Notamacropus eugenii: one gene and its partners. The protein of the gene in region 1 binds, or shares a complex with, the protein of each later gene. Links are inferred from orthologs where the notes say so. Each region holds a gene or a part of one and is shown on either strand. Other genes may lie near its edges. The genes, in order: PLXNB1, ARHGEF12 and SEMA4D.

Region 1 (7,553 bases):
AATAGGAGATAATTTAGAGAGGGAAGGCACTAGAATTAAAAAGGGTTGGGAAAGGCTTCCCGGAGTGGAGATAGACTTTTCAAATGCACAGAGGTTCAATGGAATGTCTTCCTGAGCATCATAGGATCATAGATTTAGATCTGGAAAGCACTTTAGAGTTCACCCAGTTTGGCTGAGAAGGAGAAACGTCACATTAGTCTAGAAAGATAGATGGGAGGCCGACGGTGAAAGAAAGGCTTTAAAGGCTCAATAGAAGAGTTTGTATTTTACCCTCAAGGCAATGGGGACCCATTGAAGCTTCTTGAAGAGAGGAGTGGTAACGGGTCAGAGTGGATAGACAGGGAATGGGAACAGCTTTCCAAAGTTTCTTTGGAAGTGATGGTGGGAGTGTGGGACTGCTTTATATTTTTGTATTTGTTCCTAGCTTATACATTTTCTGTGGTGTGAGAAACAAAGGCCATCCCATACCCAATATCCATATTATACACTAAGTATCTCTACAGAACTCGAGGACTTTGCTACCTACTTTTAGGGAAACCTAGACATTAGCCATGCCGTGATTACGGTGTAAGATTTTCCTGGAGAACTCCAGGTAGAAGCAATGAGCTGGAGAGAGACAAAGACCCTCATGGTGTCAGGTCCCCTCCATGTGAGATCAGAGTCCTTGGGCCCTGGGTCATGGATGACAAACACAGATTGGCTTACCTTAATTGGGGGAAATGAAGCTAGGGTGAGTGTGGAACAGGATTTCTTCTTAACTCAATAGAGGATGTCTAGCATCATGCAAGGATGTGAATATATTCTATTAAGTATAATACATTACCCCCGCCCATGCTACCTTCCAGCCAAACTGGCTGACATTCTTTGTCAGCAAGCCTTTATGCTTTTTGCATATGCCTAGAATACACTGCTGCCTCATTTCAACTCTCCAAACAAGATAGTTGTACCCTTGTGCCTCGAATACTGTCTGGCATGTAGAGGGCATTTAAGAAATACTTAATGATTATCAGTTTGGCAGTTGTGTGCAGAATTGGAGAGAGGGGAGAGGATGAAGGCAGGGAAACCAATTAAGAAGCAAACAGTGATGAAGGCTTGAGCTAGGGTATAGAGAGAAGGAAGGGAATTCTAGAGACGTGGAGGAAGAAACAAGATTTGGTAACATTGTATGGGACAGGAAAAGAAAATGTGAAGAGTTGAGATAGTTGTAAACCTGAATGACAGAATCCTGAGAATCAAAAGCTTGTATTCCAGAAATTAGTGCCTAGTACACAACAGGAGCTTAATAAATGTTTATTAACTGACTGACAACTGGGAGCTTGGGAACAGCCAATGTGGTTGATCAATCTGTCAGTCTCTGAAGGGGACTAGAATGGACCCTGACATGGTAGGGATGCTAGACAGGCATTGCTTAGACTAAGGGACAAAGACTCAGGTCCTTATCTTTCACCTCTAGAGCATCATAGTGCAGTGAAACGTGGAGGTGTTAGAATGACTGATGCCCACACATGCTTTCCCTCTTTGCCAGGCTGGAGAATAGCAGTGCCTTTTGATTTCCTGAAGGTAGGCTTTGAGTCTTTTGCTCACCTCTGGCCAGACAGGCCCACGGAAATTCATTGGGCCAGTACAAACTAAAGGCAGAGGAGGAGGGACTGTGATGTAGGCTCAGCCCAGGACCCCCAGCTGCCTGACACCTGAGGTCCTACTCAGCTTTGCCTGGTAGGTGGGGCTTAAGAGAAAAGACACCACTGAGTAGTTCAGAGAGCTGGGGTAAGGGTTGGCTTCAGGGAGCATGGGCGGTGCCAACTCAGCAGGGAGAGTTGGGGAAGGGTGGGGCAGGCCAGCTTTGAAGGTAAATCCCTGTTCTTGCCTGGGAAGGGGCCCAAACAGGGGCAGAGTATGTTCCTGGGGCCCGCCTCTCAAGCTCCCCTTGCCTGGACAACATGTAGGCCACGCTTGGCAGCTAAGTCCTCCCTGCCCTTCTAACATTAATCAATGACTTTGCACTTTGCACTTTCCCCTTTACTGCCCCTACCTCAACTATCCCATTCATCCCCCCTTACTCATTCCCCATAAGGCTGCATGAGGAATTGAAGTCAGAGGACCTGATTTCAAATGCTAGCTCTGCTACTTATCATCCTCTCTGTACTTTGGGAAAATAACCTTTCTAGGGCTCAGTTTCCTCAACTGAAAACTAGATGACTTAAGTCTCTTCCAGCAATAACTATTATCTTATGATCTCTCCCTGTCCTCTCCCCAAACTACTTCCTCTCATTGGTCCATCTTCTGTCCCCTCCTCCCCAACCCTAAGAATGAAGCCTTCACAGAGAACTCCAGAAAATTCTAGATGTTGACAAGAACCTTGTGGTGGGGATGGTAAGAAAATGGAAATCAAAGGATTACAGATTTATGGCTGGAAAAGACCTAAATGGTCTTTTTGTTTGTTTGTTCACTGTCTCTTCATTCATTTCCCATCCTCTTAAAGTGATTCCACCACAAGAATTTATTCTGGCTTCTCTTCTCTCCTCTCCACATTGTCTCTTGGCATTCTCATTCACTGCTATGGTTGCCATGACTGATTCTATGATCAGCCCTCAAATCTCCAGCACTGATTCTTCTGAGCTCCAGACCTACATCTCCAGCTGCCTATGGGGCATATGACACCTGCAATTTGGAGGTTCCACTTACTGTCTTAAGCCTTTAAATCTCTGACTTCATCATTTCTGCGGCTGATACCACATGGTTCATCCTGTGTCCCATGTTTGAAAATGTAAGGTTATCTTGGACTCTTCCCCTATCCAAATGCTTATCAAGTTCTATTGATTCCCCTTCAGTAACATCTCTCAAATCCTTACCCTTCTGTCCCAAATGACTCTACCACAGCACAAACTCTCATTACTAATTCCTTATCTCCACCCCCCCAAGCTATTCCAATAGCTGAACAGGTCTTTCCCCTTCCAGTCCAACCTTACACTACTGCCAGATTACATTTTCTAATAAATAAATCGTCTTATTACTTCTTCAGAAATTTTTGGCTACTTTTTATTGCCCTTGGTTTGACATTTAGGGTTTTCACATCTGGCACCACTTTCACCTTTCCATCTCACACTAATTCTCACCTTTTATGTCTACTGAGCTCCGGTCAAATTGGACAATGCTGTTCTCCAACTCAAAATGTCCCACTTCCCTCTAGTAACTCAGCTAGTATTATCATAGACAGATTTCACATATTCCTATGTGCACTCTCTCATGGACTTTTACATTATTTGGCTTTGTGTGACTTTGTGTCATATCCTCCATTGTATAGTGAACTGTGAATGCAGAGACTGTGACATTTAAACTAAGTGTTCTTTCTCCCACAGCCTAGTCCAATGCTTTCCCAGGGCTTAATGTTTAATTGTAGGAGGAGAGAGTGGGGAAGCTTCATGGGGGATGAGGAAGTTGGGAGGGAGGGGAGAAGAGGGGAAAGGCAGTGGAAGGGGAAAATGGTAGAGAAGGAAGGGCAGCCCCAGGTCGGACCATGTCAATCCCCTATTCAAAAGTCTTCAATGCGTCTCTATTGGCTTTTGGAGAAAATGCAGACTCCTCAGCCCGGCATTTAAAGCCACTAACTTGGCTTCCACCTACATTTCCAAATATTGCACCTTGGTCCCATCCACGTGAATAAAATGAGTTTTCTTGAAGTTCTGGGAACTGGGTATGCTATCTCTCTTCTCTGTTCATAGATTTAGACTCAGGAAGGGTCTTTCGAGATCAACTTCACCTCTTCATTCAAGAGATGTTAAATGGCTTGTCCAAGGTCACACAGTAGAGTCGTACTTTGTCGGTCTTCCGACCCCACAAACAGCCTCCCTTTTCACTTGACCATTTTGCCGCGTTTGCACTGGCTGTCCGCCCCTCAATTTCTGGAATACATTCCTTCCTTACTTCTACCTTATAGGACCCCAAGATTTCTTTAAGTCAGAGTTCAGGTGTTCTGTCCACTCCCAACTCCCTAGTCGAGCTTACTTGGTATTTACTAATATGTCCACTTGTGGGTCGTCCTCCAAGAACGGGAGCAATCCTTAGGGATGCCTTTCTTTCTTTCCTTCCTTTTCTTAGGGATTTCTTTCTTTTTTCCTTCTTTCCTTCCTTCCTTCCTTCCTTCCTTCCTTCCTTCCTTCCTTCCTTCCTTCCTTCCTTCCTTCCTTCCTTTCTCTCTCTCTCTCTCTCTCTCTTTCTCTCTCTCTCTCTCTCTCTCTCTCTCTCTCTCTCTCTCCTCTCTCTCTCCTTCCATCCTTCCTAATCTGGAGGAGAAAGTGGAGAGGAAGGAAGGGTAGAAAGAGAAGGGGGAAGGCAAAGGACAAGCAGGTGAGGGTTCTGGTGGAGAAAACGCGGTGCCCCTCTGTGCTGCCCTCCCTGCTTCATCCTGCAGCCCTTCTCGGCCTGCGGGCTGGCTGGGGGTGGGGGTGTCTCTGTTCCTGGGCAGCCGGGGTCTGGAGAGAGGGAGGAAAGGAAGGCGCAGAGCCCGGGGGAGGACGCGGCTTTGTCTCCATTGTTTCTGGAGGTGAATGCGCCGGGCCGTGGGGGATGGGCGGGCGCAGTTTTCCGCCCCTCGGTCTCCGGGTAACAGCTGTGGCTTCGCCGGATCCACCTCCGGGGGCGGGGGTAGGGGAGGCCCGCGCCGCTCTGGGGCTCGGCTCAGCCCAGCTCAGCGCCGCGCCGCGCAGCGCCACTCGGCTCGGCGCGGCCCCGCGCAGCAGAGGGTTCGAGCGCGGTGCAACTGTGTGCGGTGAGACGGTGTGCGGTGCAACGGTGGGAGCGCCTCCCTCCCTCCCTGTCCCAGCAGCGGGGCCCGAGTGGTGAGTCCGTGCGTCCCGGGGGGCGGCGAGGAATCCGAGCACCCCGGCCAGACTCCCCGAGTCCCCGGAGGTGGAGAGCCGGCATCCGTAAGGATGGCTTGGGGAACACTTACGTGGACCGCTTGGGGCTTTCTGTTGTGTGGATCGGCCACCTGGAAGGGAGAGCTCTTGATCTGGGGCCTGGGGCTGGGCAGGGGGCTATTTCATTGTGGGCATTTTGGACCGAACTTCTCCGGTGGAAGAAAACTTCAGGGTGGTTTTGATTGGGAGAGGCGGGAGGCGGGATCGACTCCCCCTGAACTGGAGCTGAGTGCCCCCTCCCTCCACCCCTGGGCAGCCCCTCCTCTCCCCCACCTCCATCCTCACCAGCCAACAGCCTTTCCCTCCCCGCCAGGACCAGATGACCAGAGAGGGGGTCTTTCCTTCTTGGACCCTGGGGGCGGGATGCCTGTACTGAGGAAGACGGGAGGTACACCACACCTCGGAAGGTGGAATATGTGGGAGAGGTTCGGGGCTCCTGCACCTTGCCTAGATCCAAGAAGGATTGGGAGAGTGGGTCGTAACTCTACCTTTCCCATCCCAGTAAATTCAAACGCTCCCTGGATTGCGACCCCCCCCCCCCCTTCTTCCATGCACACCTTAATTGTGGCCCTCGTCCCTCCCTCAGAACACACCCTAAATCGCTACCGCTCCTTCTGTACATATAGAGTGGATTTGGATTTTGACACTCCTCTAATGTGGGCTTCCTTAATGTGACCACCCTCCCCTTCAGTACACACACCCTGGAGAGTGACAGTCTTCCGTCAGACTGGATTGTGTCACCTAAACCACCAAAAGGCATATCCTGAATTACGACCCTCCCTTTTCGCCTCATACATAATCTAAATTGAGACCTCCCTCTCCTCAGCCCTCTAAATGCTCAAATCAAAGGGTAACCCGCTCACATTTTGGGGTTAATGAGTAACTGGCCAGCTCAGAGATGGGAAGGAAGCAGTCTCCCCGGCCATTCCAGTGAAAGCTGGTTTCTCCTGATTATGGCACCCAGGGAGCCAGCCAGGTGGTGGGCACCTCATTGGGTACAAGGTGGGGGGAGGGGCCGAAGGGGCAGGGATCAAGACAGGGTCTGGGCCTTTGAAGAAAGGGGAGGGGTTGTTCCCTTGCTAAGAGGAAGCCTCTCTGCACCGCTATCTCAGCCTTTCACCTCTTGTCTCCTGGAAGTGGATAGGAGGGCTAAACCTGGAGTGGGGAGGGGGTGTATATTTGGGGGCCGTAGCTCTTGGGCATCTCCTTAACTGGTGGGTGAAGAAATCGTACTCCCCCTGGTGGATGAAATGGAGAGATGGCCTGGAAAAAGTGGGGAGCCCTAGAGTGGCATAATCTGGTGCCAATTTTGACATTGTTGGAGGAGGGATTTTCTAGCTAACATGTTGGGGGGAAGGAATGGTATACTCGTGGGCCCAACTGGAATGTGGTAGGCTCTGAGTGTTAGGGTGCAAGGGGTCGGTAGGGTGCAGAGGCCCATTTGGAGGCAATAGAAGCTTTGAAGAAAGTTTTGGGAGAATGAAGGACTTGCACTGTCTCATTTGTGTACAAATCTCAATAACACATTCTGGTTCATGGTCTCTAATTAGTAAAGATGTTTCTGAAGCCACCCAGATTCTCCAGTTGATCTTCACCCTTCTCCCTGTCCCTTCCCTTGACCTCTGTGTTGTCCTTCCCCCTTTCTCCTCTGTTACTATGCTTGGCACAAACTAAGCACTTAATAAATGCCTTTTCATTTTCATTCAATCTTCCCTGACCCTCTCCATTTTATTTTCCTTGTCCTTCAGTCTTTCCCTCTCTGTCTGCATGACTCTTCTTGCTTGACTCTGGCTTTTGTCCATAATGGGGAAAGGTATATAGGGTCCTGGGAGGAAGCTGATGATAGAGAACAGAATAGGAGCAGTTCTGGCCTCTCCAGCCCCCTTCCCCTAGAGTCACTCCATCCATGCAGACAGCTCCTGGGAATCCCTTGAGAGGGGAAAAGAGAACTGATTGGCTCTTCAGGGTCAGTAGAAGAAAGGAGGGAGGAATATAGATGATGGGAGCAGCTCTGGACCTACCCTGCTCAGGAACCCCTTTTGCCTCCCGATTCCATTGGCCCTCTGGCCCCATATCCCCCCAGTTCAGGCCTTTCAGTTCCCACTGTGGGATAGGACATGAGTCCTTGGAGGAAGCTCCTGTCTGTTCCTTGAACTGGGCAGCTATGGCAGTCGGCACCCTCAGAACATTTCTGGATGCAGGGTGATTATCTTCTGCTGTGTGTTATATTATTATGGTTTATATGGGCATCTGCCTCCACTCCCTCCAACAAACACACTCCCTATCTGCTCCAGATGCCTGTGATATCTGTTTGATCAGCCTTTTGGAGTTCTCATCTGCTTCCTACTTGGAGAGGGGGGTCGGAGAGAGAGAGCTTGGAATTCAAGACTACAGGGTGGGAGAAGGTGCTAGAGAGAAGAGCAGCTGAGTTGGAGGGGGAGGGGATTCTCTGACTTTAGGTTCATCCAAATACCCTTCCCCAGTTTCAGCCCCATTAACTAGTCTTTAGGGAAAGCCCCATCTATGTCTTTTGTTAGGGAGAAGTACACTTGAGCTTGAGGGACCTTCTGAGCTTGTCTGTTACCAGGTCTGTGCCATAGGTACCCTGCAGTCTGGGGGTTTGGGGGGGGTGGG
Region 2 (7,212 bases), on another chromosome or scaffold:
TTCTTTCCACTTGTAAATTCATGATCTTAAGTGGAGCTATCTCTTTACCTTTTAAACTTTTCAGGGGAGATGAGATGGCTGTTTTCAAGTATTTGAAAGGAGGAATGTGGAAGACATTAGCCTCCTTCTGTTTGGCCCAAGAGGAAAGAACCAGTAACAATGGGTGGAAATTGCAAAGAGTCAAATTTAGGTTTGATGTAAGAAAAAAAACTCAAAACAACAAACAACTTCCTAACAATCATAGCTATCCAAAAGTGGAATGGCCTCTCTCAGGAAGTAGGGGGGTTTCCTTTCATTGGAGATTTTCAAGCAAGGGCTGGGTAATCTCTTGTGGAGGGTATTATAGGGGGGATTCTTTTCCACATGACTACAGAGGTCCCTTCCAAATGAATTCTGTGATTCCATAAACTATAGGTAGCTCCAAAAACAGCCTTTACTATTCTATAGAGAATGGGGGAGGAAAGGTTGACTTTGTGGCACTTCAGTGAATAATTCCCATCTGAAATAATTTCATAATCGCTACATACCATTTCCCACTGAAGCAAAAAGCAACTGGAAAGCACTAGCCTGGGAGTCAGGAGAGCTGACTTTTAGTCTTTTTTCTGCCACTAATTCTTTGTGTGACTTTAGATAACTCACTTCATCTTTAACAACTCTTTGTTTCCCTACTTGTGAAATGAAGGGGCTAGGCTATCTCTAAGTGTTCTTCCGGTTCTAACAATATGATTTTTATTCTTTGGTCATAGATGAATGTCTAAGTTTAGAATTATGTCCAAAACAATTTCCCCAGAAAGACTGTATAGAAAAAAGGGTCTTTAAGATCCCAAAGGGAAGAGGGGAACCCATCTTTACAGTGCACCATTTGATGAATCACTGGAATGAATACATGTCTAACAAAAGGATTATGTCAAAGGAAGACACAGCTAGTCCATCATTGTGAAAGTCTGCATGATTATACAGAATACATCTGTTGAGTTTGTGGCCCAGATTTGGATCTTGACCAAGGCTTATTGAAATGGCTCGATCTCTAGCTGTTTAACAATTTTTGTTTTTTTAAATTGCAGTTTTGCTTGGACAGTTCTTAGGATGGAATTGTGTCATACTAGGATACTCCAGCAGGTGGCAATATATCCTGCTGACATCATTAGGACTGAAGTGACCTGTATCACTAAATCTGTTTCTTTCTAAAAATAAACATTACAAAATTAGCTGGCTCTTTACTGATCTCAGAAATCACGCAGCTAGAGTCATCTTAGGACTCTGTTTTAATTTTTCCCCCCTGTGTTATGTCACCCTTAGCTCAAGCACAAAGAACACTCAGGGTTATGATCCTTCTTGCTGAATGACTTTCACAGAAAGCAATGTTAAAATGAAATTATTTTAACGAAAATTATTAAATTCTGATAAATTTCAATTTTCACCAAACAGCTGAAATCATTAAACCACCAAGACTCTGAAAATGAAACAATGAACAGGGTTATTCAGAGTAGGTTAAGTATCTCAAATTGGGCAGCAATTTATTAAGTCCTTACTATGTGTAGAATCTTGTATTGAAGGAGATCTAGTTTAGACAAGATTGTACCTGTCCTTGTGGGGCTTATAACCTAGAAGGGGAATATGCCATATAGACATATAACTATAATAAAAATACATCTTAAATGGTTCAGTGGAAAGTGAGCTTCAGATCCCAGCTCTGATATTTAATACCTGTGTTACCTTGGGAAAGTCACCTTTCTTGTCTTTTCTTTTCCTCATCTCCAAAATGAGGGGATTGGAGTAGATGATCTCTGAAATCCCTTCCAGACCTAAACCTATGATCTTCTGATAATGTGTATAGGGAAATGTCAACAAATACTCTAATGGGAAGGTGGGGGATGTCATTATTGCCCCAAGGATGGGTGGATAGGTGGAAGGAGAGGGATGGCATACGGGCATCTGTATGGGTAGGAATTCAAGGGTCAGGAGGGATTTCTAGCAAAAGGTACAGCGGAGGCATTTAATACCTGGATGTGAAGACTTGTAGAACATGGATATATTGGGCTCAGTTTCCTATACTGTTGACTTTTACATCATTTATAAGTAGATAATGGTGAAATATGTGGAAAAACCTCCAGAGATAATTTTTATATAGATTCCCTTTGATCAAAATACCAGAAAATGCCTTTTCTTTTCCTTCCACAAACAGCTATGAAGGCCTGCAGAGAAAACAGCACAGCCTGCTCTCTTCCGTGACTGCAAATAACACACCCTATTTTTCAAGGCAGAAACAGGCTAAAGGTAACATACCAAGAAATTGCAAAAGATACAGCTGGAAGGGACCTGAGAGATCAGAAAACAGACCGACAAGTGAAGTGACTTGCCCAAGGTTACAGAGCTATTACATCTGGACAGGACTGCTTTTTTCTTTACTAAGTAGCCCTCCACTGGTCCCCATTATCTCCAGTCTTTAGAGGTAGGGATCGGGGGCCCAAGTGCACCGCCCCGCACAGGTGAAGAAGCTGTTGTCCCAAGTCTCTTCTCAAACCCGCTAAGAGGCTTCCCTTGGAAGGCTCTCTCGGTGCCAGGTAGTGCCGGGTAGTGCCAGGGGGAGCCGGGGCATTGACAGCTGAAACTTTCCAGGGACGTTTCTTCCTTTTCCCCTTTCTTTCGTATTAACAACGGAGCCTTGCAAGGGAGGTCTTCCCTCCCCCCCACCCCCCATCTCTCTGTCGTGGCTCGGCTTTGACAGCCGAGCTTTGCTAAGCAGGTCTCGGTGTCTGTCTCGGTGTCTGTCTCGGTGTCTCTCACACACACACACGGATACGAGGACATAACTACACAAGCAGGGATCACGGCTCTTCAGGACATCTGTGTGAAAATGAGAGGCCAAGGAGAAACCCCATTCACCGGAGGGATCATAAAGTGGGACGAACCTTGTACTTTGCGTACCCCACCAGCCTACTCAACCCCCACTTTACAGAGGAGGCTAATAGAGGCACTGAGGGACCTAGTGACTGGCTCCAAGCGCCACGGCTGAGATTTAATCCTCTGATTCCAAGATCTAGTATGACATCAAGTCTTCCCCATAACCAGCTCCCCCGGGGCCGCGTCGTGCTCCGGGGCGTTGCCTCGCTACAAGGCGCAGAGCCCTCCCGGGGCCGGGCCGCCCGGCCGCAGCACTACTTTTCCCTTCCCTCTCCAGCACGCCGCCTGCGGGGGAGGCTCCCGGAGCCGGGACGAGCGCGCGGAGGAGGCGGCAGCGGCCGATGCGCCCTGGTGTGTGTGCGCCGCGCGGAGGAATCCTGAGTGAGGCGGCTTTCAGAAGTAAGAGAGGAGGCCGGAAAATAAGCAAAAGAGAGAGAAAAGTAGGGCGGGGGAGGAGAGCGAGTGTGGGAGAACGAGCCTAGGACTGGAGAGGACAGAACCGGAACCGGAACCCGTGCGCGCGGCTGGAATCGTCGCGACCCCCCCTCCCCCTGCGCGCCGCCTTACCTTGGGCGTCCGACGCATTCCCCGCTCCCCTCCCCCTCCGTCCCGAGCGCGCTCCCGAGATAGCCCCGCGGGACCCGGCGAACCGGCCCTGAGGGGAGTCCCAGCCGCCGCCGCTCCCCGCCGGCCGAGACGGGACAGGCCCCTCTCCCGGGAGGAGCCGCGGCGGAGAGCGGAAGAAGCCCGAGCCAGCTCCCAGGGGATGGGGAGCCGCGGCCCGCGGCGCTGAGAGACCTCGGCCCCCAGCTCCTCCTCCCCCCCTTCGGACTGACTCAGCGAGTGCCCGCGCCCCTGCCCCAGCCGCCGCCGGGACAGCCCTCCCCCCGGGCGGACGGGACGGGACGGGAGGGGACCCCGCCCCGGGGGACATGGAGGAGCCGAACCCTGCGGAGCTGAGCGAGCCCGGCGCGGGACGGCCCCACGAGCGGAGGCTGCAGCAGCAGCAGAGGCGGCGGCGGCAGCAGCAGCAGCAGCAGCGACGACGACTCACCCGCAGCCCCAGATAGAGCCGACTGGGCCCCAGCCCGGCCCCGGCCCCCGAGCTCGAGAGGAGGAGGAGCGGGGCGCCCGGCCGCTGCCCGAAGCCGGGGAGCCAGCCGCCTTCGCGGAGACTCGAGGCCGCCCCCTTTGCCCGACCTCACGATTCCCGGGCGGGCCTGGAGCGTGTCCCCCCCCCCCCCCCTCCGAGACTTTCTCCCGTTCTTCCCCCTCCCCCCGGCGGATGCCCTATGACTGGCCGGAGTTTGGAGTCGGACTTGTGCGTCCCTCTCGGAGCCGCGCCGGCTGGGGGTGGGGTGGGGACTGGGATGTGGTTGTAAAATGCAAGTTGGATAGAAAGACGACCTCTCGCCAAGGGCCCCAATGAGTGGCACACAGTCTACTATCACGGACAGGTTGGTATGAAACTCCTTTTACTGGTCAGCCTTTGGTAGTGAGCGACTTCCGCCAGCTCCATCACCCCGGAGCTTGACAGGCCCGGGGCAGAGTAGGGTTCGGATCTGTACAAGTACTCCCGAGCTGCAGCCGCCCCGTCACCCAACGCATCCCTGGGGAAGGGACACAGGATGCGCACCTCCAGGTTTCAAAATGAAGCTAAGCTCTTGAGAAACGTAGGTAAAATGAAGGTTTGGGTTGTTTTGGCACTCCTGAGAGTCTTTATCACAACCCCCGCCCCCTCCCAGAAGGTCACTTTGGGTGAAGGTCAGTGCCTCACATCTGTTGGATACCGGGGCAATATCACTCACCCAGTTGTGTGGGCAGTTTGATATTGGATTTTTCCTGAGGGAGAGCTACCTTGTGGCCCGTGTGATCTTCGTCCCTTTTAAAGGGAACTTGGGACCTTGGGACTAGTGAACTTTTTTGTTGTTCAGTCGTTTCAGTCGTGTCTGACTTTTCGTGACTCCATTTGGAGTTTTCTTGGCGAAGATGCAGGAGTGGTTTGCCATTTCCTTCTCCAGCTCACTTTATGAGGATGAGGAAACTGAGGCAAACGGGGTTAAGTGGCTTGGCCAGGGTCACACAGCTAGGAAGTGTCTGTCTGAGGCCACATTTGAACTTCGGAAAATGAGGCTTCCTGACTTCAGGCTCTGCACTCTGTGAAGATCTTGGTCTTTTTTAAAATGTTGGCTTGCCTAATTTTTAATTGTTATATAGTAACTCGGCGATGAATGGAACTCTGTATCTTGTTATAGTTGGGGTAAAGCATCTGGATGGCGATTTTTTTTAAAAAGCTTTTTGGTTGTTATATTTCCATATATGTTACATTTATGTGTTAGGTATAACATTCCATATATGTTATAGTTCCATAATTTCTGATTTTTATATTTCCCAGGAAAATGTAGTTTAAAAGAATATCATAAGCAGTAAAGGAATTATGTAGGGTTTGATGTGCTAGCTAATAAATGGATTTGTCTTTATTAGCACTTAGATTAGATGGATCATTTCTGATTTAATAAGTCAGCAAATACTTTTAGGTTAGGTACTCTGAACCCTTGAGTATTAAACTTTTAAATGTGATACAGTAACATTAAGCACATTCATTTCTACAGTGTTTTTACATATATCATTTTCATTATAACTGGATTCCTTTCACACACAACAAGGTTGCATATTTGTGGTCCATATGCTAACTTCATATTTTTCTTTTTGTGTTCTGGACTAAAATTACAGTTTTTCTTCCAGAAAAAACTCTTTAACACAACTTAAGAAAGTGGAGGGAGGAACTAAAATTGAAGTTTAATAAAAGAAACATCAGCTTTAGAAAAGCCTATTTGTTTTTAAAACTCCTTTGTTGTAAGGTAGAACAATAGGACTCTGGCAAAAAGTGTTTGAATTACTTTATAAGAGTTACACCCAATTGCTGGACTCATTTGTTGATTAAAAAAGGGCTGAATTCCATTATCATACCAAAACAGCTCCTCCAGAGACAGAAGTTGCACTTCCTCTTCCTGTTGATGCTTTCCACAGTGTCACATGCACACTCACCTAAAGCATTCTACTGACATTTAAAAACTCCACATATGCTCTTTTAAAGTGTATCATTTATTTTAAAAATGAGGTTTTGTTGTCTATGAAACATTTTTTCCTGTCTCCTTTGAGCAACCACCATGCTTATCTTGTAATGCCTGAATGTACTTTTATTCCCCTTTCTTTCAGGGTGTTTTGCTTCTGAGAATCACTTTCAGGGGTGAGTGGGTAATTGTTTTCCTGGCTCATTCATTTCTTGCCATTTTTGTTGAGCCATTAGACAGAAAAACACCATTAGAAACAAATGTGTTAGTGGTTTATTTCTTCCTGTTGCTGTTTAAGTCTGTAGAAATGGAGTTTAAGACCACCAACTCATGCCATACAAGAGTCACCAGTGATCTTTTTTGAGTGTTATTACTGGAAATTATATTTGCCTATTTTCAGTTTTGGACATATATTTTCTTTGTCATCTAGTTACAGTATGTGATTCTTGTGAGCATTAAACTAAATTTTAAGTCAGGGGAGGTGTAACTTTAAACCTCTCCATTTTGGTTGTTGATGGTAAAGTTTGTTTTGGGAGTGAATTTTTTCAGATAATTCACAGCACTAACTGATTTGCAGAGTGATATGACAAAAGTCTTTAGAGATACTCTAAGTTGCAGATGACAAAATGTAGGCAATTTAACCAGGCAGTAAGGATACTTGTTTCTTAGGTGTTCTTGTTATAATTTCTTTTCTGCATACTTTTGTTCACTACTTTGTATTGATTGCAGGTGTTGTAGTTTCCCTAATTATTAGCTAAGATCATAGTGTGAATAGTTGTTCTACTATAACTGTGCACAACTTTGACTTAATCTGACTTGTAGTACTGATTTGAATGTGTTGGGGATAAAATCTGGAAGTACTGGTTTAGTGTTGCTTCTTTGCCAAGGATCCTGAAAGTCCTCAGTAGGGAATACTTCCCAGCTTCCTCTAGGCACCACCCACTGTGGCCTTCTCCTTCCCACTATTCAACTCCAAACTAGTGTTGATGGTGTAGTTGATGTCTGACAGCTAAGTTTGCAGTGACTGGCAAACTGACAGTACTGGTGGACCTCGTTATGGTCTTTTCATGATTGAAGTACTATATGGGGTATGCTTTGTAGCGTGTGCAAAATCATCCAGGCCAGCTGTGTGTGAGTCCTTGTTCTTTCATTGTAGTGCTTCTGACTGTACAGTTTGTCTGTCCCTAGCTAAAATCAGACTGGCTGGCTTTGGGCGTTGCTGTTTTGCAGTTTG
Region 3 (7,766 bases), on another chromosome or scaffold:
GTAAAACATTTTGCAGACCTTAAAGCACTATATAAATTGTAACTAGCATCATCATCATCATCATCATCAATGTTTCCTTGTGTTTGCTATTTTTTTCATCTTACTTTCTGAATTTGAACTTTGTGATGGGGCAAGTTCTGTGCACTTCTGGAAAATGTGGTAAAGCTTTCTATGGTACTTATCTGTATTATCTGGTGTCTGGATAATAAATGTTGTATTTTTCAGGGCAACGATTGAGGTTTGTAGGTGTACGTGAGGCAGTCTAGCCCTACGGGTAGTAATGATCTTTACTCTCCTGGTCATAGTCCCAAAGGCTATAATTAAACCCATGAGAAACTGATGAATTCATCAAATAAAAATGTAGAAAGAAAATAGCCCAGAACAAGGGCTTGGGAAAAAACCCAAAATCAGAAGGGTTGGTATGATGAAGCAAAGGAGATGAAGGAGTGGTCAGAAGGGTAGAAGGTGAACCAAGAAAACACAGTATTACAACAAAGAGTATAGAAATTAAATATTTAGTAGCAGAGGGAGTTGAATAATGCCAAATGATATTGAAAGATCAACAAAGATGGAGCTCAAAGAAGACCATCGGATATGTATTAATTAGAGCTCATTAGTAACTTTCAAGAGATAAATTCACTTGAGTGAGAAGTCAAGGATAAAGAGAAAGTTGAGAACCTAAGTGACTGGAAGGATAGCGGTGCCCTCCATAGTAATAGGGAAGTTTGGAAAAGAGTGAGTTTGGGGGAAAAAATGACATAATTGCAACATATTTGTGTGTATGATACTCACTATTCCTCACTGACAATGAAAAGTGTATATGTGTGAGAAAGGGGTGGGACTTCCTCATTCACTGCCCAAGAGTGCAGAGTAGGCTAATGTAGTCCAGAGCATCTCAAGGTGGGGATACAGCAGTTGGAGATGTAATGGCTATGGAAATCTGCCTGTTCAACTACTACAGGTGTCTGAATTGGGATAGGTTAGAACAGCTTTGAAAGATGGAAGCACTATGTATCCACTGAAAACCATCTGTGAGAGGGGTTGTAATGGGCAAGTGGTCAAGGGGTAGCAGTTATATCAGAAATAAATTCATATTAAGCTATGAGGAAGGGGAAGGGAGAGATATAGGATGTAGCTCATCTTCTCACACTTTTATTGGTTAATCACCCACCCCACTTCAGTTTAAGTTTCACTCTGAGGTATCCCACCCCTACTTTGGAAAGTACTTCTCTAAATTAGGAAATATTTTGTTTGTTCTACCATGAGAACATTTTTGGGGGAGAGGGGGTGATACATATTCAAACTCCATAGTTCTTTGCTCAGCATTTTCCATCATGAGTCTTTTGGAATTGTACCATGACATCATATATAGCTAATCATTTGCCTCTTATTTTCCTTGAAATTCTTTGGCCTCTCTTCCCTTCTATTAATGCCTAGTTGCTGGAAGATGATCCTGCTAGGATCTAGGGGTGGGAAACTTACAGCCTCAAGGCCACATGTGGCCTTTGAGGTCCTTGGATATGGCCTTTTGACTAAATCCAGGTTTTACAGAACAAATCCTTTTACTAAGCGTTTGAAGATTATAGAGGTTGGCTAGCCCAGGGTCTCCTTTGAAGTTATTCTCTATCAAGTATGTATTTGTTTGTCCCATTTTCTTCAGTCACAAACCCCCCCTTTTTTTACCCTTGTCTTGTGGTCCTGTGTTGTGCTATTTATGCTGTGTCTTCTACATAGACCACACTCCTTTCCCCATCCTTCTCCTTTTCCTTCAAGAGGTTAGCAAATCAGTCTCTTGTGGTACAAGGGTGGATTCAGACTGAGTCATAGATATGGAGGGATTCTCAGGTTCCTTGAGCTCAGGGTAGGTTGTGAGATTTCTAATGCTGAACAAAACCTCCCAAAATGTCCCATGAGAAATTCCTTCAGCATTGATAAGCAATTATTCCAGAAAAGAAGAAAGCAAATCCAAATCACCAAAATCTGCAGTAAGAAATGAGAAATGACAATAAGGCAAAAGAATATGGACAATGACCAAACTTCACCATTTACAACTCTATGCTAATAAATTTGAGAAACTGAAAGGAATGACAATTGCTTTCATTCCATCAATGATTACATATAAAATAACTAATCTAACAAAACAAGAAATGGACATCCTAATTAGACAAAACTCAAAAGGAGAAGTCTAAGAGTACTTTTAATGAACTGCCTTACAAAAATCCATCAGGAAGAATTGTTAAGTGCCTGGTAATATAGCAGAGTCACAAACTTAGGAAACAAAGGGTAGGGTAGGGAAGAAATGATGCACCAGATATAGTATAAAAATTGAAAAATAAAATATGGAAACAAACTTCAAGGTAAAAACCTCATGAAATCACATTATATAATGTAAATGTATAGAGGTTTCATTCAGCATTAGAAATCTCACAACCTGATCCCACTGCCTCCTGATGCTGGGTTCCACACCCACTTCTACTAAATTACCCCTCTACACTTCTAGGCTAAGTGCTCCCCTACCCACCCACAAGTTTTGGCAATGTCCCTTGTTCCTGGAACCAAACACTACCTCTTTGTAGTATAACAAGTACTACCACTAACACCCTGCTAAGAGGGCTGCCACGGGTGTTGGCACTGCTGGCCTGCAAAAGTTACCACCCCGCTCTATCATCTCCCAATTTTGGATTCTAGCAGTACCTCTCAATGTCTCCCTAAAAGGGGATGCCCTCCTCTTCCAAGTAAGTGCTGCTGCTGATACCTATTCTGGAACCTACATTGGGGTTCACTCTACAGGTGTCCCTTACCCACCTATAAGAGTTATAAGATGGAAAATTACAGTTCACAAGAGAGTCAAAGTCAGTTCTCCTTTTAAACTTTCTAAACTGATACAGTCCCATCTAGTCTTCAGTAAATTAATTGGGGTGATTATGGCACATTTGTCCTTATCTTTCAATTCCTGAAAGGTCTCTGGGTCGCTGAGGAGGATTGAATATCGTCTTTTTTAAGTGCCTTCTCAGTGACTTTTAACAGTCTCATGTAGCACAGCTAGATCAGCTTAGAAAGAGCAGGGTAGATAGCAATGTGGGCTCCATGAGTGTGGGCAATCGCTGGTCCAGTATAACCTGTTGATGACCTTATTCTGGAACTGATTGGAGGAGAGGATACTTCCACATTGCTGCCAGTGTACCATATGGTCATTAAGGATGTAGCACAGAAAACTTAGAAGGAAACTGGGAGAACGCTGAGGGGTTGAGAGGTTGGAAGTCACGGTGTGGACAAAAATAAGTTTTGTACGGGAAGGCAGAGGGAGAGGGGGGAAACAAATAGACAGGAATTGGAGGAGAAAGAAAATTTGTGAGTCAGATACTGAACTCTTTGAGGAAGGAAGAATGACCTAGTAAATATAAATTATCATGATGTTGCTTTTGCATTTTATACATTTTTTTGAGGTAGATTGAAGTTTATTGGAGAAACTTGAATGTACAGGTGCACAATCTTTTTTTTCAAATTACATTTTGAAATTGGAAAGAAATTTAGTAGCTGTCCTTATGCTCTTTTGACTATTTTATTTTCAGCTGGTTGTTTGCAGACTATGTATCAATCCTGCTGTATTTATCTTTAAGCCATAGTAGGAGGCTTTATTTTAGGTGATTTAAAAAAATACATTCGGAGTTTTCTCTCCCTTAAGCTCATTTTTAGCTTTTCAAGGTCTTTTAATGTGGCCAATGACCAGGGCCTTTCGTGTTCTTTAAATATGGTCAAATCTTTGACCTTTTTTTGCCCCTCCCTGGTTGTGGGGATAACGGTTGTGGTCTGTGGTGTCTAAAAGCAAGATAAGCATTAGTAATTGTCAAAAGATCTTATACACTTTCAATGTATCATTTTGTACTACAGTTGCTGTTTTTGTATCACATACTCTGTAAATTCCCTGAAGCAGACAATTAGGTAAACTTTGTATCTCTCCTCTGGAAAAATAAAAAGAACAAATTGAAATTTTCTTGCCCTAGTTGGGAATTATTGAGTGTTTGCCTTCAAGTGGTTATAGGATAGGATTATGTGGGTGTTGAAGAAGCTGTAAAGGCCATTTAAGGCTCTGAGAAGAGGTAAACTAAATCAATTTAGAGTATAGATTGCCCCAAAGTACAATCATGGGAGGGGAGAGGGAATCAAAGATTAGGGCATAGTAATTGGGGAATGATGTTGAAGAAGACAGTAGAAAAAACACCTTCCAGCTCCAGTCCTGATATTTTGAAGGTAAAGTTAAGGCATAAGATGCTGGTTCTCTACACTATCACCCAGCAATACCAGTTGCATTTGAAAATGTAGTGCTTACTACACACAAACTAGTCCAAAAGAAAAAACTAGTCTCTTGACAAAGAGACTAGTTTTCCTCTTCATCGTGTGTGCACCCTGGGTATTTACTTTTTTTAAAAGCTGAACTTTTATTAAATACTTGGTCATAAAGATCACTATTGATTAATCATAAAATTTTAATTTGAATCTAAAAGATGACAAATTTAGTTTTACAAATCAGCTAATTTCTAGTTAAAAACACAAACTTGAAAAAAGACATAAAACACCATTTTCAGAAGACATTAAAGTGAGTCTAGAGATGCCCACCAACACATTTTGTACGTGTGTGTGTACGCGCGCGCGCAATGCTCCCGCTCCCACCCTCCAGTAGCTCTGATCGAAGCATCATTCTACTCCTCCCCTTTCCCCTGGAGCTGTTCAGCGCTAGGCAGTCTGGTTCTGGCTGGAGCTGCCGCTGCACGGAGCCTTCTCTACTCCACTTTCCTGCAGCGGCCATACTGGGGGCAACCCAAACTTGCTACATACTGGCACCAACTCCTCCTCCTCCTCCTCTTGCTGCTGTAACCGCCCCTATTTCTAGCTCCAGCCACACACCGAGGAATTAAACCTGCTGCAGTAGCCCTCGTCTACGTTAGGGACTGGGAGAAACTAGATGCTAAAGGGGACTGAAGGAAGGAGAGAGTGGGCAGTGTAAAAGCAAAATTGTGGCGAGGAGGAGGGCTCAGACGAAGAGGAAGTTTCTTCTTCTCAAGCAGCAGGTAACGAGCTTCCCCAGCCTTGCACGTTCCATGCTTCCCCTGCCGTCTTGCAAATGCTTGCAAAGCTGCCAGGAAACTGTCGTGTCTAGGAACGTCTGGGCTCGCGTGTTGACAGGGTGGCTTTGCGGGTCTCACCCACAGCTCCTGCAAGAACTGTTCGGTGTATTCGGGGCTCCGTGACTCATCTGTGCCGGTGCTTAGGTCTGTGGGGAGGCCTGGGGTGGGTGGAGAGGCGGCGATCCGGCTGCGCAGCGTTAGCGTTTGAGGTTGTCGGGCTATTTTTCTTTTCTTTCTTTTCTTTCTGCGGGGGGTGGGGGAGCGGCGCGTAGTTGGGAGGGAAAGGACAGGTCGAAAGGTATTTTCAGAGAAAGATTTGCTGGGGAAAGGAGGAGGAGTAGAGGACTGAGGTGTTGATTCTAGTTGTAAAATTGCAGGTGAGGAGGGGACTAGAAAAGGCTTAGCATGGGGATGTCGTTGACTGGGGGAAAAGTTGCGAATGGGGGAAAAGTGGATATTGGTGTAGATTGTGCAGAGTGAGGGGAGAGTATTTTGGTTTCTTAGGGAGGTTGTGTTTTTTACCCTTTTCGAAGAGGATGGCCTACTATCACTGCCCACCCAGAAGATTGCACTGTTTTAGCTGTTTTATTGCAAAAAAAAATCCAGCTCAGACCTGAAAAAGATTGTTGTCCCTTGTCTCCACTTCCATTCTCATATACTTATCAACCCATGTATTCCCTTTCGTTCAGGCCTCTGACTATGGGCTCCCGTGCCACACATTTTTACATAATGTACCTGCTACCCGGATGAAAGTAAAATAACCCTGTCCATTCCCCCGCTCCCCCAAAATATGAGCTCCTGGTAGGAAGCGATCATTTAGATTTTGTCTTTTATTATCCTCAGCTACTAGTACAATGTCTTGCACGTAGCATTTAATATTTGTGTGAATTGTTGAATTGGATGTCAAATCATTTGCAAGAAGGTGGTATATTTATCCAGGTTTAGCTTCTCTGGTTATCTGAACTTATTTTGGTAATGAGTTGGGGAGAAGACATAACATTTTGTATTAGTGATAACCATTGTCTTGGATTTCTTTTGGCATAAAGATTAAAGGGACTCTGGAAAAATGGAGCACTAGACTTTTTGTGGTAGAAGCTTCCTCATATTTTAGAAAATCATTCCCATTTTATATGTGATTGTCATTTTCCTTTGTGATGGATTCTTATTTGAGTTATCTGACCTACTACTTGCTTTTGCCAATACCGCTCTGAACCTGATGAGCTACTTACTCTCTCATCCTTTCTTACCTCAACTTCTTTTTCAACAGGCTAGAAAAATTGGATACAGCTATTTTGGTAACCTTGGACAAAAAACCAGTAATATATACAGATAGGTGAAGTAGGTTACATCAAAAAAAAAAATATTGCTTAATTTTTCTCCCAGTGCTGACAAGTTCAGGTTTGTTTGTTTTTTAAATTGTTATTCCAAAAAGTAAGAGAGTAGACCTTGTTTTTAACTAAGAGATGCACCTGTTGCAGCAGGCTGGCAGACTGAGCTAAACCTACTGGTGTTTTGCCAATAAAAACATGTAAAGGATATTTGAACTGGTGTGTTGTTTCCCTACTTCCCCAGCTCCTTTTGGGATTATATGTAAATCTGTAAAACTTTTGTTCATTTAAAAAGAGACCTGTCCTCTCTTATTTTAGATACTGTCAATTTTAACTATGGACCCATTAAATCAAGGTTCCTTCCTAAAACCTCAATTTAACATTAAGCTGACCTCAAGCCTATTAGTGGTAAGGTGTTCACAGGTTGGAAAAAATCGTTCTGTTCCTGAAGAATGCTGTTTGTTTATGTCTTTGGTGCAGTAAGGTTATACTTAAATTAGTTTGAACAGAATTACTGTAAGTTTTGAGACTACTAAAATACTACCAGTTATTCCTGAATTTTTTCTTAGTGAGGCACATACAGATGAGGGGGTGGTGGTGGTAAATCACCCGGAAATGTTACCATAAGCATAGATCTGTAGACCTGTTTTGAGTCATGAGCTCAGAGGATCCCTGTCTGACCATTTCCATTCTACCTTCACTGTGTATGTATGTACATGTATGTGCATATATAGCCTGCATGCACATATATGTACACACATATATACATACATATATATTTTTTGAGGGGGTGGTTTTTTCTCTATCTATTGGCCTATTTCTGCTATTTATGTGTGTCATTAATTTTTTTCTGGAATAAAGTTATAGAAGGAGAGACTATAATCATAATAGCCTTTTGATTATATAGTAGTTTTTAAAACTCATTTTACTTTGCCATTCTGTTTATAGTGATGTTGATATTTCACTGAATTTGTATTCTCATTGATGTCACACTCTTCAACTATATGCATCATGATCCATTCATGACTTTGAATACTATAAAGTATCCATCCAACCTTTTGGGAGCTTTCCATTTAGGTCTCTTGTCATTCTTTAAAAGTACATCCTGGTGCCGTCCATTCCTCCATCTTGCTCTATTACTGGCCCACTTTGTTTTCAGTTGATACATTTCTTAGATGTTATATTTTACTTTGTTTTTTGTGTATAATTCACCTTTGATATGATACTAAACCCTGTTTATCCTCATACCTACCATGTGGCTAAGAGATTATGGTGTATATTTATTTCATGATTCATAGCCACATAACAATAT

What was found.
Region 2: the proteins of PLXNB1 (region 1) and ARHGEF12 are in contact, whole or in part, in an NMR structure (PDB 2OS6), measured with the Homo sapiens proteins. The link is inferred for Notamacropus eugenii from reciprocal best matches to the Homo sapiens genes PLXNB1 and ARHGEF12. Residues at the interface, in NP_001123554.1 of Homo sapiens: Glu2129, Lys2131, Val2132, Thr2133, Asp2134, Leu2135; in NP_056128.1 of Homo sapiens: Phe82, Gly83, Leu84, Thr85, Val86, Ser87, Gly88, Asp89, His127, Val131, Lys135.
Region 3: the proteins of PLXNB1 (region 1) and SEMA4D are in contact, whole or in part, in a crystal structure (PDB 3OL2), measured with the Homo sapiens proteins. The link is inferred for Notamacropus eugenii from reciprocal best matches to the Homo sapiens genes PLXNB1 and SEMA4D. Residues at the interface, in NP_001123554.1 of Homo sapiens: Leu80, Pro81, Pro82, Glu87, Arg136, Pro137, Gly138, Asp139, Thr140, Tyr142, Gly178, Glu202, Lys205, Ala207, Gly209, Arg210, Ser212, Glu213, Arg235, Arg242, Asp359, Val360, Asn361, Ser362, Leu367, Pro368, Thr371, Tyr375, Ser379, Asp380; in NP_001358123.1 of Homo sapiens: Glu99, Lys100, Gly101, Phe158, Tyr179, Phe181, Leu182, Gly183, Ser184, Arg198, Tyr201, Ile203, Glu208, Val240, Leu264, Arg265, Thr266, Leu267, Gln268, Lys270, Thr347, Gln350, Ser351, His352, Thr353, Asp388, Gln392, Lys395.

What each region holds. Positions count from the first base shown.
Region 1 is NC_092872.1:14,566,992-14,574,544, forward strand, and holds the start of PLXNB1 (plexin-B1), read left to right. Parts: upstream 1-4,551; 5' UTR 4,552-4,566; coding exon 4,567-4,838; intron 4,839-7,553. UniProt on the Homo sapiens protein: Receptor for SEMA4D. Plays a role in GABAergic synapse development. Mediates SEMA4A- and SEMA4D-dependent inhibitory synapse development. Plays a role in RHOA activation and subsequent changes of the actin cytoskeleton.
Region 2 is NC_092876.1:277,951,671-277,958,882, reverse strand, and holds the start of ARHGEF12 (rho guanine nucleotide exchange factor 12), read left to right. Parts: upstream 1-4,195; 5' UTR 4,196-4,329; coding exon 4,330-4,361; intron 4,362-7,212. UniProt on the Homo sapiens protein: May play a role in the regulation of RhoA GTPase by guanine nucleotide-binding alpha-12 (GNA12) and alpha-13 (GNA13). Acts as guanine nucleotide exchange factor (GEF) for RhoA GTPase and may act as GTPase-activating protein (GAP) for GNA12 and GNA13.
Region 3 is NC_092874.1:370,119,647-370,127,412, reverse strand, and holds the start of SEMA4D (semaphorin-4D), read left to right. Parts: upstream 1-4,730; 5' UTR 4,731-5,069; intron 5,070-5,085; exon of another isoform or gene 5,086-5,270; intron 5,271-7,766. UniProt on the Homo sapiens protein: Cell surface receptor for PLXNB1 and PLXNB2 that plays an important role in cell-cell signaling. Regulates GABAergic synapse development. Promotes the development of inhibitory synapses in a PLXNB1-dependent manner.